Linked DNA regions of Mus musculus: all the other regions are reported to be linked to region 1. Evidence: microRNA targets listed by miRTarBase, many of them from high-throughput screens and not tested one by one. Region 1 holds a microRNA gene; each other region holds the end of a gene's coding sequence.

Region 1 (4,148 bases):
CTTAAACAATGTCTTTGGGCACCCTTCCTCCTGCAGAGTGACCGACCCCACAGTGCTCCCCGGGTTTTGTTTATGGCTGTTACAGAGCTATGACACTAAGCCTTCTTGCATCGGGTCTTTGTACTAGAGCAGGAGCCTGTTCTGTTACTGTGTCTTCCACTGGGTGGCCATTGAATCAAAGACTTGAAGCCTGTTAACACGTCTGTTCCATGTCCTGTAGATCGCCACATCACAGAACCGAATCTATCTCACAGCTGACAACCTTGTGCTGAATCTACAGGATGAAAGTTTTACTCGGTAAGAGATCCCACTGTCCAGAGAGCAAAGCACCCGTCCACTACCCTGGATCCTGGACTATCTAGTTACCAGGGCCGTGGACAGTTTCTCTGAACACCAGTCAGAAAAGTGGGTGTCAGTCTGGTTGGCAGTTCCTATCTTGCATCTTCTAGGACTGACTTTATAAAGCAAAGCAGGATGTCTTATGGGAAAGGCACTTTATAAATATCTAAATGAGAAGTGACGACTGGTAGCAATTTCACGTGAGACCCACGTTGCTGGGACCGCACAGATAGTGGCAAAGAGCCGTCCTCACTGGGGAGTGCGGGTCTGGAGCAGCTGAGCCTGTAGCTGACTAACGATTTATTTCTCTTTTCACATATTTCCTGCTCACTTCATGGCATGCTGGTTGCAGGGGAAGGTAAGTGGCTGCCTCCTTGCTATGGGGTCCTGGGGGCCATCTGCTTCCTGGACCTGCCCCTACACCCCCTTTCTCCCCATTGTCAGGCCTTTATTTAGGAAGAAGCTGTGGTTTGGGGTGTTGTGCACCTCACACTTACATCCCCGATAATAGGAATGTTCCCTTTGTTCTCCAGTGACAGCCTCATTAAGGGTAAGAAATGAGTGTGGACATCAAGAACCCCACCACCAGAGAAGTTGGCACACTTGTCCAGCTTGGAGGAGCCAGCTCGGGGGTCAAGCACAGCCCACCCTGCCCCAGGCATCATGTGATGGACTTTTCTGTATCTGCCCTCTTGGATTAAGGAAGACTGAGACCAGCCCTTTCAGAGGCTTTCCTCCTTCCTGTGTTGGCTGGGAAGCGGGGTGGGACAATGTGATTTCTCCGTGATTTCCTACAGCCTTGAGCCTCTCCCAGAGTGGGGGAGATAACCACCATGCCAGGAATTCTCAATAAAATTTTTATTACTTAAAGCCAAAAATTTTGTGTCTGAGTGTGTACGTAGATTGCGCGAAGACATTGATCACACTGGGACTCGGCCAGCAGAGGGCACAAGCAGTCTGGCCTGTAGCATTCGGACTGCCGCCGGGTCCTCAACAGGACCTAAGCTGGGAGCAGCCGATCTCAGGCCCAACTACACCTTCACCCCACCCGCAGGTCTACCAAATGAACCCACAGACTTAATGACATCTTTTTAAAAGCTGAAGCAGCTGAGGCTTTGCTGAGCCAAACTAAAAACGTGATGACCCCAGGGGGAGCTGCTTCCTTGGTAACCAGCTCCTGGTTAGCTCCGGGAGATGGCGTGTTCCTCCCAAGGGTTTCCGTGTTCCTAAGTCCCGGTGTGCTGTTACTTAGTCACCAGGTACGATGAGCTATTTGCACTGAAGTTTCTCCCTGTGGAGGAGGCCTTCCCACCCCCACAGCCCGGGAGCCCAACTGAACCTATTTTCCACAGACTACCTTTCTTACGAAGACCGAGTCTCCAGTACTGGGGAAATCAAGCCATTGCTCACGGACTTCGCTAGAACCGTTGCCTTGGTTTTTTCCTTCTGGGCAGACAAGAATACAATAGAGGAAGGGTGAGCCTGACTGGGCGAGAGGGTGCAGCAGAGCTTCAGCTCCTTGGGTTCTTAGAGGAAGTAGGTCTCTCCTGAAGCCTAAGACAGACCACCGAATGGACCGGAATCGTATCCCACGTTCCCCATGGACATTCAGGTTCCCAGGGTGAAAAGACAACGGAAGCCAGCGTCTTGGGACCAAATGTGTTTCCAAATCTTGCTGCTGTTCTGAAGGCAGCCATTTTGTCTCTTTCCCATTGTTCCCCTTTGCCAAGTGATACACACACACACACACCCATCCAGAAGGTTAAAGGTCAGAGGCTGTTGGCCTGGAGGCCTAGGTGGTCTTCAAGGCTCCAAGGTCACTGCTGAAGGAACTGACCCGGGGGCCATCTTTACCAGACAGTGTTAGGAGCTTCATACTTCAACCATCCAACACTGCACTGGAAGATGGACCCAGAGCCAGCCAATATAAATTGATCTACCGCTGATCAAGCGCTAGAGGGAAGCCGCTGCTGGCTGGCTGACTGTGGCCTCTTGTGTGCGCGTAGACAATCCCAAGGCCAAGGTCTGCTTCTAGTAGGTTCTGGATCTACCAGATGACAAATCACACTGGATTGGAGGAGGGGCTGGGGCCATTGTGTTCTTCCAGTGGGCAACCAGCCAACCCGAGAGCCACCCTTAACTCGGAAGAAGGGGCTTCCAGGTTATGTGTGGGAGGAATGGGTTGCTGCCAGATAAAAGTGCCTAAAGCGATGGACGCGCAATGGACGCCGATGACACTGGGACAGGGGCCTCCATCATTACCCGGCAGTATTAGAGACTCCCAACCAGCACCCAAACACTGCTGGGTAAGACGAGGGCCCCTACCCAACCAGTCCACCTTCAAGATCAGCCCTGGCTAAGCCCAAGCCCCTCAAGAGAAGCGGCAGATCTCCTGCTCCCATCCCCCACCTCCGCGTCATTTGGGACACTTCCGGGAGAGCCTGGCTGCTCCCCACCAGGCCTACCCTGACTTGCCCATCACTGAGGCCAAAACCAGCTTTCTGTAGCCTCTACTATCCACCTGCGAGCCAGTCCCCCCCCCCCCATTCCACGGCCTGTCCCTGCCCTCCAACACACCCATTTACTGCGTTCTACCGTCGCTAGCGCAGCCCCAGGACCCCCCTGATCGGTGGCCTTTACCTGGCACCAGACCCGCCTGACCCCTAGAGTGGTGCAGAAGAAAGAAAGGTGTACCAACGGCCCGGATTCAGCCGCCTAGAGCCGACTTGGCCTCCACTCTCGCTCTTCCTCCTTCACCTGCCGGGCAGCACAGGCGCCTCACCTGGGCCCCGCCCGCCTCTGCCCTGCGCACAGGTGTGTCCTCCTGCCATAGGCTGCCCCCCTCTCCGCCTTAACCCCTTCCCTCCCAGCACCAGCCCTGGGCACCTCCTCTTGAGGCCTGGCCACCCCGCCAGGCCTCCCGCCCTTTCTGGCCGCCTTTCTTCTTCTACCTTGTACTTTCCCTGTTTCTAAAGGAATAAAGAAAGAGGCCATCTTTGGATCCCCTTCCAGCGGCTCCTTCCTCCCAAGCTAAAACACCCTCTTCTCTGAGGCCTCTCCAACCCTGCTCTCAGCCAGAGTCAGAGGACCAGCCCTGAGGTCAGTGTGGGGTCAGCTAGGCAGGCATTGGTCTGTGTCCCTGTCCAGGGCTCAGACAGGGCCGGGCAACAACCCCTTGAGAACTGGGAAGGGAGGAAGCCCCAACAGACCTGTGGATCGCCAAGCATTGCGCCGGATCTTTGGTTTTACCCTGAGATGGCAGTGTCTGCCTGGGCCCAAAGGCCTCCCTTCCCGAAACTCCTAGCCCTACTGCAGCTAAACCAGGAGAGACGGTCCTTGCAACCCACCTCTGATCTGCAGAGCCCTTTTCTCAGTTGGCCCTCAAAGAATTAGTCCGGGGCAGTTAAAGGACTAGATCCTGTCTTTCTTCTGTGTGGTTCTGTGTTGCTGGGAGAGGGGCCCTGCAGGCACACAGGTGATGGCCCCACCCACGCACCCCCTGGAGGGCCATAGCTCCAGGGAGCTATCATGTTCCTCAGTCCCAAAGCTGTCCCTTTCTTCCTCCTCTTTGTTCTCTATACTTTTCCCTTGTAATTTGTGTGTGTGTGTGTGTGTGTGTGTGTGTGTGTGTGTGTGTGTGTGTGGACTAATTCTGGCCTGGTCTCCCAGACAGCTCCCAGAGTCCTAGTAAGATAAGCTTATCACCCTCAACTGCTCTCAGCATATGACCCTTAACACACTGGGCGTTATAACTAACGGGCTAATCAATGTGCTACCCTTGGCCTTTCCCATGGTGGGAGCCAACTCTT
Region 2 (4,000 bases), not on the chromosome of region 1:
TGACCACACGACCCTTTCCTAAGAGGAAAGTCCAGGAATGTGTGACAAGGGTGTTTGCTTTCTAGGAAGCAGGGTGCTAGCTTCCGGTGCTGTTGCATAACTTGAAACTACAGGCATGTTGCTGCCAGCCCAGGTTTCTGACACCCTAGATGCCATAGGGCACAGCAGCATGAGTTGGAGAGGATGGCTGAGTGGGCGGGAGAGTCACAGGGGAGTCCTAGGTGACTTCCTGATACTGCTAGAATAGTCCAAGGTGGAAGAATAGTCCTTAGCTAACTGAACTTTCAGCCTAGAGAGGGTGAGACACATCTTAGGCAGGAACCACCCGATTGTAGACACGGTGCTGCTTTGCTCTCTGCCTGGGGAGACTGTCCCCTCCCCCCTCTGGCAAGTGACTATGTGGCAATAGGTTTGTGTGTAATACTCTCAAGAAAGGTCATGACCCCTGCTCTTAGGGGCCACGTATTAATTTGGCAGATCTCAGCTACTTGTCTCCCTGAGGTGGAATGCTCTGAAGAGAGTGCACACTTAGGAAGGTGTGGGAGAATGGTAAGAAGACATCTCTCCTCTTGTTTCCCTCTCTCCACTCTGGGACTGCTTTGCCTGGGGCAGGAAGTGGGAACCCAGTACAGAAGAGGATAGTAGCTAGTCACGTGGGACACAGGAAAGGGGTCCCTTGTTGCCCCCTTGCTTCAGCTCCCGTCAGCAGCAGGGTGTGGCTCTTCCTCTCCTGTAGTGGCAGCTGTGGGCTTTTGATTTCTTTTAAAATAAACACAGAAATATCGTCTGAATGTGCTTTTGTTTTAATCCCAGGTGTGCGATGTGGGGCGGCTTCAGGCTGCCCACAGCAGCTGATTGTGATCTGCCTCGTGCTCTGACAGATGTGTGGTTTTGCCAGCTGCAGAGAGTTTCTGCAACTGTGTGAATTCTGGGTCTATAAATGCTAGGGCCTGAAAGAGGCAGAGTTGATGGTTGGTTGAAGTTTGTTAGTAGTTGTGCTCAAAGAAGAAACAAAAGGAAAGAAATCAGATTCAGGTATCTCTTTTCCCTCTATCCTTGTTTCTCTTCTGTCTAGTGTTAGGGGGTGAAACTAGGGCAGGGTGGGGGAAATAAAGGGTGGGAAAAGAATCTCCAACAAAGGACCAAAGACAGCTATACTCTCCCCCTTCCCCAGGCCTCTTGAGGGATGAGGCCAGATACCCAGTGTACAAGGGCTAATGAGTCCACACTTAACTGGTGAGTTCGCAGATCTATTACTGCCTGTGCTGTCTAGGAAGCAGAGCACAGCCAGGAGAGCAGGCTGCCCTGTGCCTCTTGATTAGATGTGCAGTGTGACCACAGTGGACTAACGGCTTCCCCATCTTCCATTCCTTCTTCGCTTTCCCCAACCCCCACGGGTTTGCAGACCCTGCAGTTTTGAGGATCCTCAGAGACTGGGCTTACCCCGTGGCCTCCACAGATGCAGCACAGAGAACTCAGGAAACAAGCCACGTGCAGGGCTGTTGCTGAGGTCAGGGCTGCTCCCGAGGTCAGGGCCTGCTGGGACTGGCTTGGAGCTGGGACTGAGTTTCCTGGTCACCCAGGGATCGTGCCCTCTGAGTGCCATGCCTGTGTCACTGTGGTCAGTCCTGGGCCTGTATGAGCACCACTTTAGCTCAGGACAGTGAGTGACTGCCCAACAAGTGGTAGGCTTAGCTGGCAGCCAGGGACGAGCACAAGCTAGCCCTGCTCTGAGGCCTCTCAGATGTAGTTGACACTCAATGACAATAACTAGTAGAAGAGGGTGGTCTTGCTGTGGCACTGCTGGTCTGGAACCTGACATTGCCCGCAAGGGCCCCCAACCCCACATAAGTGTTAAGTGGAACAACAGAGACCTGCCTGTTCATGGGCGCCACCTATGAACAAAGTGGGACAGTAAGGAGTCCCTCTGGGCAGACATGCCTGTACATCTGCTCTCGTGAACCTGGCTGCTGAGGGTCTCTTGAGCTTTTTATTGTGTTCTGAGGTCTTATGTGCAGTCCTTGCTGACCTCCTGGAGCTGGCCATGTAGCACAGGCTGGCCTTGAACTCGGAGCAATACAGCCTCAGCCTCCTGAGTGCGGTATCCCCTGCTTAACCGCCATGCCCAGCTCTCTTCGATTATTAGAACCCTCAGTGAGCTAGACGACGGCCCTGTGTCCAGGAGGTGGGCCCTGGGGGAGTCACGGCAGCTGGCCCACCTCATAAGATCCAGGATTCAGCCTGAAGAGTGAGAAACTGGAGCCAGAGATGGGGAGAAGCAACTAGTACCAATGTCCCCAGCACGGCAGGCTACCCAGAGCCCAGGGAAAAGGTCACCAAGGGCACGTGGCAGTAGAGTCACCAGGGAGAAAGCACCTGAGACAAGGTGGAGCTGTGGACCCTGGCAGCCCTGACCTACAGACACTGGTGCAGTAAAACCCAGGACCAAGGCTCGCGTGGGTGCTTGGAAACACTTTATTTAAAACTCTTTTGAAAAGACAGCAATTTATGCCATGAACAGAATAAGATGCTGACAAATGTTTTCTTGCCTGACCTGCCACCAAGCAGGTCTCTCTGGCCCTTGAGGGCTCTACCACTGGTAAGGGAAGTCCCTGCCTGAGGAGGGATGCGGTTGGCTCTGGAAGGTGACAGGGCAGGGCAGAAGGACTCCATTCTGTCTGGGCTGTCCTACATCTGCTGGGAGCAGCCACAGCAAGTGGCCCGCCGGTGCTAGGGTTTCTTCTGGGTCATCAAGAGAAAGCACCAGACAGGAGCCACCTCCTCAGAGATCACATGGCTTGGGGACGCCACCTGTCACACAGACAAAGCCCTGGCCACACCCACGCTCCTCCCTCTACACTCATCCCACATGTTTTTGATTTTTTTTTTTAAAAATATAACTTTGTAAATGCTCCATAAAAATACTGCTCTTCCTAGTCAAACCTGGGTATTGCGATAGAAGAGTAACTGCTTTGTCTTTGCTCTAGAAAACATGAAAAGATTATCACACAGGATAAGATAGAAAAACGCAGGGTTCCTAAATATCACAAAAGCCAGTACCAAATGCTCACGGTGGAAGCGAAGCTAGGGACCGACCGGGTGGGCTGGCAGCCTTGGCTGGGCACCTCTTCCCCTGGCCCTGCTGGGCACAGCTTAGGGCACCTCATCCTTCTCCACACACAGACACCAAGTCTGGGAAAGGCAGCCACCTGCTCTGACCCAATGGCCAGCACTTGCCCCTTGAAGCACCGAGGGCCCAGTGCTGCTGGCCAGGACCTGGTGGTCCTGCTTGATGACAAGGGGCCAGCTAGCCAGGATCCCAGCCTGGGGATTCTGAGACCAACTCTCCTTGTGTAACATTCCACTTGGCCTGGTGAGGCGCACTCCTGTGCAGGTGCCAGGGCAGAAGGGCAACAGCCCTATCCCTTAAAGCGGGAGTGTGTCTTCTGCCCCATAAGAGGCGGGTGGCCAGGCTGTGCCTCAGTTCTCAGAGAGGGACAGAGCCAGGGCAGCCTGGAAGGCAGCTTCTTCGTCGATGCTGTAGTCCTGGGGAAAAGCAGAGATGCATGAGGGAGGAGCAGGATGGCTCCCAAACACCCACTGTCACAGTGTGTCCCAAGCCTCCTTCACAGAATGCCTGCCCCAGTTCTTACATGTGTCCCCAAAGGTAGCCTTGGATCGTGTGCATACCAGTGCTCTGCAGGTTTGTGATCATGAGGCGCGGGTTTCAGATGGTAAGAATCTTTCTTCTACAGCTTAGTTTTTGGTGTGTATATGTACAGACATGTGTGTGCCATAGTGTGGGCAGGACAGAGGACTTTCTCATTTGTCACATGGGTACCAGGGATTGAACTCAAGTTGTCAAGCTTGGCAGGCAGTAGGAGCCTTTAACCCACTGTTCTTGGACAAGAACTGGGTTTTCTTAGATGGAAGTTGTCAAGGCCATGAGATCTCCAACCTTGGGGACCAGGAAAAAGCAAGCCAACCCTACGTGGCTAGA
Region 3 (4,000 bases), not on the chromosome of region 1:
GAATCTGCTTTTTCTTTCTGAGCATTCAAACCTGGATTTCATAGCTGATGCTTTGAATGAACAATAGCTATCAGAATCACTACCATATGTTTCTCGTGAGCTTAACAAAGCAGAGACAAGGTTTAATTGGCTCACTGAACTGTGTCTTTGAGAGACTTTAATTTTCCTATAAGAACAGTAAGTGCCAACAAGACAGACGTCCCTGTTCCTCTCAGATGTTTATAGTTCAGGGAAGTAAACAAGACATTATATTAAAAACATTCCCTGTATGCTGCAACATCTATTTTGAATTTGTACAAGTGTTGGGGTGGGGGAGAGAGGGGTGCTATAAAAAGCACCCTCAAATATGCCTGATACCTAAATCCTTGAAGCCTGATCCTGATTTTACTGTGGCTGAACACTCCACTGCTATAAAGAAGTATGGAACAGGATGGTATTTGTCAATGTGTTTAGTTTCTAATGGCTCCGAGATAGCATTTTGGAGGCATATGCATCTTGTAGACATTTGGAAGGAGTGCCATTTGTCAAGCTGGATGAAGAAGACATTAAATGGAATTCTGGTGTCTCCTAATATCCCCTAAGGGGGGGGCTATCACGCTAACTTGGGCAGGGCTTACAAGAGCTCAGCCGAAGTGTCATCTCCTCTGTGGCCAACTTAATTGCTCCCTTTTCTGTGAAGTGTCAGAGTTGCCTGGCTGTTATGGCTGCCTTCCTGGAGGGCCGAGATCCTGCTGGGCAGAGACTGTGTCTTATTTATCTTCGGATCTCCAGTAACTTGGGTGTTTTGTAACCAGCAAGAATTTGTGCCCCAACTGTAGGGATTCATTTAATGAGAGCTAAGTGTTAGATCAGAGTCCCACCCAGGTTCTGGACATGCTCTGCCGTGTGCTGCCAGTTCATTTTTCCTTACCCTGAGTCCCTAGGGATGCCCAGAAGAGCTGCACACTCTCAGCTGCTGTACAAGCCCCAGAAGGATGAGGGACCTCAGCCTAACATTTTGAGGGACCCTGGCTTGATAAAGAATATTAGGGAAAACAAAACAAAACAAAACAAAACAAAACTCAGTAGCCAAAATAATTCAGCTCAGACATTTCCTTGTCCAAACCCACTGTATGAACAATTTATCTTTTTTACCTCTGGCAGATCCTCTGCACTCATAGACCAGTTAGTGTGCATACGTGAATAAACCTGCCCAAGAAGGTGGAGTGATTTACCTGAGTGACGGAGCCTTCTTTTTCTTCAGGCCCCCCATCCCCTCAAAAGCAAACCAGAGGGGGTCCTTTTGCTCTGTTCCCACTGGCTCAGTACTCAGGAGTGGAATTGTCACATCATGTTGTGATTAGAGGTCTGTGGCTGTCTCATGTGGCAGTGAGCTCCAGAGAGTAGGGCTTGTGTCTTTGTTGGTCGGCTTTAATGTCCTCAATTAACAGAGATGAGATTAGCCTCTCAGCCGCATTAGCTTTTCCGGAAAGATCTGAGCAAATGTCTGTGTGCCTCAGAGAGGGCTTCTGAAGATGACAGACCAAAGAAACCACTCCACCCAAATCTGGACTGGTACAAGAATGAGTTTTACTAGGACTACTTGTGAGGACAATGGTGAGAAGTCACAGGGACACTTACAGGTGACAACTATACTGCCAGTCTCTCCCTCCGGCAACTGTCAATTGCGCATACACCCTCAGGAAGCAGAGGGGCTGTGTGCAACTTCTGTGTTGACTGTCCCTCCCCTAACATTCTCTTGAAGAAAAGAAACACAGCGGTAATTAGATGTAGTACAGTGGAGAGGACATCTTGGGGCAAGGGACAAAACTCAGAATGCAGACATGCTAAGCTTTGTGAGGATGCAAGGTGCACAGTGCAGGCAGTGAACAATAGTTTGCTCGGATTGGTTCTGGGTGGGGTGGGGTTATGGGTGTGTCAAGCAAGAACTGCAATGCCAGCGAACTTCTTGATGGGGAAAGCAGTTGGTAGACTTAGAAGCTGAGTGCCTTCAATCTCTTTAAAGGTGCTGCCAAAACGATAGCTCTTGCAAGTGTGCTCTAAGAGCAAAGGATGTTGTAAAGGCCTTTGGCATTGGAACAAGTGCTATGTGTTAAGGCAAGGAAGCCAAGTGTTAAAGAGCCTTACAGGGCAATCCTGCTCCAGCTGCAGAAGGGATGTGCGGGCGGGCTTAACTAAGAAACTGACGGCAGAGCAGAGCAAAGCTGACTGACTGCGGGGAGTACAAGGAGACTCTTGCTTCTCCTCATCTTATCTATTGTTAGGTTTTTGAAAGGACACAATGGACACGCACTTTATTTGCACTGAGAGAATTTAATAGAAGTTACACATTTTAAAATGTTGAAAGAAGCAGTCATGTACAGGTGATCCTCCTGCTTCAGTCTCTTAGATGGGATGACAAACACGTACACCTGTCTGGCTAACACTATGTGCAGTTAATGAAAGGCTGGACAACCCATGACGCCCCTCGGGAACTCACCGCCTTCAGCCATTCAGGCCTCAAGAGAAACACTGAGCCCTCTTGTCTCTGATCCAATGCCTTTAACAAATGGACAGAGACTCCTCATACAATTTGTTAAGATGAAGGTCTTCCGTTCTCTCCCTGGCCTCTGCAGGGAGCTTCGGTGTCTCATGCTTAATCTATACATCCTGCCTGAGTTATTTATCTCCGTCGTCACATGACTGCTATCAATCTTGCTCCACTCCCATATTTTTACACCCTCCGTCTATGCAACAGAAGAGTGGTGTGTGTGTGTGTATGTGTGTGTGTGTGTGTGTGTGTGTGTGTGATATAATACTCTCTCATTGAAAGAGGCACATTCTATATCACAATTTGCTTTTTTATTATCATCACCATTATGAAGAGCTAAATGCACAATCCAGTCTCCAGGCAACACAAGTGTAGCTGCCTTGTATGCAGGACACCTGCATTCGATGCTGTAGCATGATTTTTTGGGGGGTTGGGTAGGGTGGGTGTTGTGTTTTTTCTGGCCTCCTGTTAAAGGCCAGCCACAAAGTTCCAAACCATAGTTACAACAGCGCAGTCTTCAAGCAATTAAAGCCAATCGATGGTTGAGTGAGTGGTGGACGATCTCTTTCCGTAAACAGATCACTGAAAAGCCCAGAACAAAGCCACCTGCTGAGAAAAGTCCGGTTCAGCCAGTGTGACTTGGGAACCCACGCCCCACCACCCCCACAGCAAGTGGGGGGGGGGCGCGGGGGGGGGTCAGGTCACTCCAGCATGTGCTGGAGCAGGGAGGGATCAGCCTCCACTGCCTGGAGGCCCTTGTGTAAGCTTAGGAAGGTGGCCTGCTTCCCAAAACGCTGGCGCCAGCGGACAAAGGCCTCCACCACCTGCGAATGCACGTTGTGGGGATGGTTGGCCTTGCAGCGGTAGATGTCGGTCTGGGACAGTCCCAGAGACAGGACCACGGGCTCCCACTCCGGGCCTAGCCTCTGAGCCAGCTGGTTAATCTGCTGGTCTGATGGCGAGCTGCTGAGGATGTGTGAGGGGATTCCGGCCATCCAGTCACCTGAGGAGGAAAAGAACAGGAAATTGAATAAAGCAAGCACCTCATATAGGGAAGACTTGAGAATGGGGCGGGGCAGATAGGCGACTATTTCCGGTCTTTTTGTACTGCTCAGTTTCGTGGGCTGAACCGTGCGTGCCGCTGAAACCGCCCCCCCCTTCAGTTTTTTTTTTTTAATTAAATGTTTTCTTCATTTACATTTCAAATGCTATCCCCTTTCCTAGTTTCCTCTCCGAAAATCCCCTATCCCCTACTCCCTACCCCTGCTCCCCAACCCACCCACTCCTGCTTCCTGGCCCTGGCATTCCTCTATACTGGGGCATAGAATCTTCACAAGACCAAGGGCCTCTCCTCCCTTTGATGACCAACTAGGCCATCCGCTTAGCATCTCTTAAAAGTGTTCACTGCAGAAGATCTAAGAAGAAAAATCCATGGATAGTTGCTTAATTCTGCCTCCTTGTGTATATAGA
Region 4 (4,000 bases), not on the chromosome of region 1:
TAAGCAAATAGATGGTATTTCTTTCGGGCTTCTATTTCAAGCCCAAGTGTTGTTGATCCTGTGATAATGACTTAGCAAAACAACTTGCAAAGTGAGTATGGAAATGATCGAAGAAACTGCTGGCATCTGTTTCATACAGATTTTTACCACTCACAGCATCAGGAATGCAAAAAAGAAAAGAGAGAGAAAGAGCAAGCCCACCAGAATTGTGAATTGTACTGCTAAAACTCTAATATGTAAAATAACTGTTCTAATTGTCAACAGATTCTAAATAAACTAGAAAGAGAACGAGGGCTGGAAGAAGCTCAGAAACAACTCTTGCATGTAAAAGTCTTATTTGATGAAAAGAAGAAATGCAAGTGGATGTAAGCACCCTGGGGCCTGGCTTTATTTGACAAAGTTCTTCAGACAGCTTGGGAGCAAACTGGCTGCTTGAGCTACTCTTTGTCGTTAATTTCTTAAGTTTGCACATGGGTTCCACTTCGAGCACTGTCCTTTAGGAGACCAAGGCACATGCACAGCTTTTAGAAAGCGTTATCAACCACTGTGCCTGTGGGTATATCGTGGGAACCTTTCTGTAAATAGAGCTGAAGTGGTTGTTGCAAACAGCCTCCTTGTTTACAGAGAATACAGGGCCAGTAAGCAAGTGTCAGTATTGTAACTACAGTCTCCACTTAAGCACAATGATATCTAAGTGGTTTTGTTGGAAAACTACAGCTATGTAGTACTTGTGACTACACTGTACTTCTGCAGAAGAAAGGGGATACTAACAAAGCTCAGAGTGTGGAAGGAGTCCTTTGGAAACCCGGAGGGGGTGTTAGGGCAACCCTGAGGGTCTGCGGCATTCCTCCTCTTTCCCCAGTAGTTCTTGGAAAGGCTGAAGGCAGAATTTGGTAGTGTGTACACTTAGCATTCGTGAGTGTGTGTGTTTAAACCAAAAACTAACAGTGTTGCAACATTGTTGAAAGGGCTCGTGTTTTTCAGTGGTTGCCAGCCGGGCTCCTCAGCCCACCTCCATCTCATCAACGCAGCTCTAAAGCAAGGAGAGTGGGTGGGTCTCACTGAAATGCAACAGCAGTTTTCCCAGACTCTGTCCTACGGTGTGTCTCTTTTTTATCTTTTCATGTATCTGGTAGTGGACATGTTGGGTATTGTAAGAAAAAGAGTTCATGACTTTACTTCTGTTTGATCAGAACTGTCTGTGGATGTGTAAGTCACTCCTGTAATCTTACATTTCTATGCTAGTGTCTCCTTGCTTTAGATTTCTGGTGAACCCTGTGGTTATAAATACTTGTGTGTGATTAAAATAAAAGATACATTTTACATTTCATCAAATTGTTGTTCACATTGGAGTATTATATATAAATATATATATTTGAGGCCCAAGGCCTGGAAAATATTAGTACAACTTGGTATCTTAGTCTTACTATGTACTTTTTGAAAGTATTCCTTACAGGAGAAAGATTTAAAAATACTCATTTTATTCGTGCCTCTTTTTTTTTTTTTCAAAGAATTTCCTATCAAGTTATACTGTAGTCTTTTTTATTGCTGATTTTTTTATTCCCAAATTTTTGCTGCTCGTGACCAATTTTAATACCACTGTGCTTTCCTTCTATTAAACAGAAGTAAAAAGTGTCACCTGACGGCCCTCTCACTTACCTTGTGGCAGGCACCCCTACCCTTGGGGTTCCAAACCCCCAGTTTAGGAAGGACTTTTCTTTCAATCAGCCAATCAAACCTTGAGCACACATTCCTCAAAACCATTTACCAGCACTGCCTGGCCCATCTAGACTGCAATGTCCTGGTAAATGGCAGTCCTTTCTCTTCCTTACTATCTGACACCTCAACAGTGCAGTGGCTGCCCTGACAGACGCCCTCCCAATCTTGTTTCTTGTGACTACTGTCTGTCCAATGGACACATCTCAAAACTACTACCAAATAGTCTATTTCTAAGTAGAAAGGTGAGAGGTCTGGTCCCCATTTAAAGCTGCTACCGTCTTTAAAGAGGTGAAGGCATTCCTAAGAGAAAAGTTGGAGGAGACTTGAGAGCCAAGGGTAGGAGAATTGCCCAACAAACCTTCCCTTCTCTGGGGAACAGAAACGCAAAGGCTGAGCCACAGCTTTAGCTGTGTTACAAATGCTACACCAGGGGGTCCCTGTCCAGCTCTCTGACATGAGTCCTGTGTGAGCCTTACCGCCTCTTTCAGGAGTTAGGAACTTTGGGCAAGTCACTTACCTCTTTGTGCCTCAATTTCTGTATACTATTTCTAACCTACCTCACTGAGGTGGTGTGAAGATTCACTAATGTATGTAGTGTGTTTGTCAATCCTCCAGTGGAAAGCACTATCTAGATCACACTTTGGATCCCATTAGCCAAATGCACAGAATGTCCAAATTAGATGTGTGCTGAAGACAATCAGTCACTGGGCCTCTATTCAACAACTAAAGAAGCAAATGACAAACAGTATCTAGTTTCAAGTTTCTTTGCATATTTTTGGTGCAAAACAATTAATTTATAAACTTTTTTTTCTAACACTAGTGTCTAAAGCAGCACTTAAAAATTACTTCTGTTATCTTTTCTGTATTAGGATTTAAAGTCTATTTCTTACTGTATACCTGACTGAAGTTGTTCTTGGAGATGAATGTTTTAAATGTCTATATCCAAAAATAAACATTTTGATGTAACAAATGTGGACTGTTTGTCTTTTCTAGTTTTAATAGGTTTCTTAACCTAAATTACTTTCCAGGAACAAGATGTCACGGTACATTGCATATAAATAAGCAGCTCCGCTCAGTAAACCAAGCTCCTTGCTAAATGGCGCCAAGAGCTGCTCACTTATATTCCTGTCTTCAGTGAGCAACCTGACTTTTGGCTGCTGAGACGTCTATACAATGACAAATCCACATAAATTTAAGCTTCCGTTTGCTGACATGAAATTATTCCAGTGGAATCCCTCTAAAACATTACATAAAGAAGCTTCCAAAGATGCACAATGAAAACAGAAGGACATAAAACATCATTATTTGATCCTTACCTAACAGTGAGAAACCAAACTAAATGTCAGCGGTACTTCAATACCTCACTGCTTCAAGTAAGACCAACAACTCTTTACAGCCACAGGACTTCATTTTCTAAAACTCACCAAAGCCACAGAAGTGATGCCATCTCAACTGTTTAGTACATATTCTATGATCAGGAAAATTAAACACAAACAGCAGAGATACAAAAATATTTATTAAGTTATTCAATAAATTAAGTGCACAGCTTTTAGAAAAGGTAAAGATTTCTATAATAAACATGTTTAGAAACTTTTAAGTGGTTTTTATACTTATAAATGATTATCTTTTCCAAAACTTTTATATATAATAAAGGAGATGTTTATTGGTTTTGTCATTACCAAGGAGGCATCTCAAAGATGAGGAAAAGGGACTTCAGGGTGGATATATTTCAAGCAAAATGCCAGAAAATATCAACAAAACAGAAATTAATTTGAAAACTTGATTTTTTTAACTAACTAGTTCCTTTTATTTTTGCATTGTCAAAAGATTGTCAATGCATGTTCTAAATATATGAATACTTTCATTTTCTTAGTATAATCCTAAAATCTTGGAGCCCATGCAGTGCGCTGCTAGTACCTTTTCTTGAGGCAGCTCATGGATTTTGGCAAACAGGAAGAAGGCGTCTCAGTGCCACACGTTACCCGTCAGACTTTTATTGAGTCTCTGGCTTTGCCTGTCTTCAGGCTTCACTCCCCAGGAGACCCAAGCTCCTCCAGTTGTTTTCTTTGTGTAGTCTCCAGTTCTTCCAGTCTTTTGCGAAGGAGAGAGAGCTCTCTTTGATGTTGTTCCTCCTTAAAAATGACACATTAAGAGAAACCTAGAAAAACTAGGAACGTCCCTGCCTCTCTTCCATAAGCCTCCAAAGTGTGGCACAGAAATGACCCAGGTTAGCTATGTAAAAACTAGTTGCTCTTCTCTCCTGCCTCAGACTGCACTCTTA

The links. Region 1 holds the annotated microRNA mmu-miR-200c-3p (UAAUACUGCCGGGUAAUGAUGGA, at 2,591-2,613, opposite strand). A microRNA usually pairs through its seed, bases 2 to 8, with sites in the 3' UTR of a target mRNA and lowers its output. Matches are read on the target gene's strand: a 7mer-m8 pairs with bases 2 to 8, a 7mer-A1 pairs with bases 2 to 7 and ends in A, and an 8mer does both.
Region 2: the mRNA of Rnf166 is a reported target of mmu-miR-200c-3p. Seed matches in the 3' UTR shown: 7mer-m8 at 2,921-2,927.
Region 3: the mRNA of Cradd is a reported target of mmu-miR-200c-3p. Seed matches in the 3' UTR shown: 7mer-A1 at 2,793-2,799.
Region 4: the mRNA of Plxnc1 is a reported target of mmu-miR-200c-3p. Seed matches in the 3' UTR shown: 7mer-m8 at 651-657 and 7mer-A1 at 1,352-1,358.

What each region holds. Positions count from the first base shown.
Region 1 is chr6:124,715,734-124,719,881 of GRCm38, forward strand. Mir200c (microRNA 200c) reads right to left here and starts at 2,657; the gene lies at 2,589-2,657. Phb2 (prohibitin 2) reads left to right here. Exons shown (of 10, transcript NM_007531.2): 8 at 221-297; 9 at 692-697; 10 at 873-1,212. The coding sequence ends at 900. Mir141 (microRNA 141) reads right to left here and starts at 2,252; the gene lies at 2,181-2,252.
Region 2 is chr8:122,463,689-122,467,688 of GRCm38, forward strand. Rnf166 (ring finger protein 166) reads right to left here. Exons shown (of 6, transcript NM_001033142.3): 6 at 2,457-3,546. The coding sequence ends at 3,481. Among named protein-coding and RNA genes, the nearest start is that of Snai3, 5.0 kb to the left of the region's middle.
Region 3 is chr10:95,172,446-95,176,445 of GRCm38, forward strand. Cradd (CASP2 and RIPK1 domain containing adaptor with death domain) reads right to left here. Exons shown (of 3, transcript NM_001330138.1): 3 at 2,294-3,533. The coding sequence ends at 3,232. Among named protein-coding and RNA genes, the nearest start is that of Gm29684, 29 kb to the left of the region's middle.
Region 4 is chr10:94,789,555-94,793,554 of GRCm38, reverse strand. Plxnc1 (plexin C1) reads left to right here. Exons shown (of 31, transcript NM_018797.3): 31 at 265-2,689. The coding sequence ends at 369. Cep83 (centrosomal protein 83) reads right to left here. Exons shown (of 16, transcript NM_029852.2): 16 at 3,219-3,851. The coding sequence ends at 3,747. Among named protein-coding and RNA genes, the nearest start is that of Cep83, 100 kb to the right of the region's middle.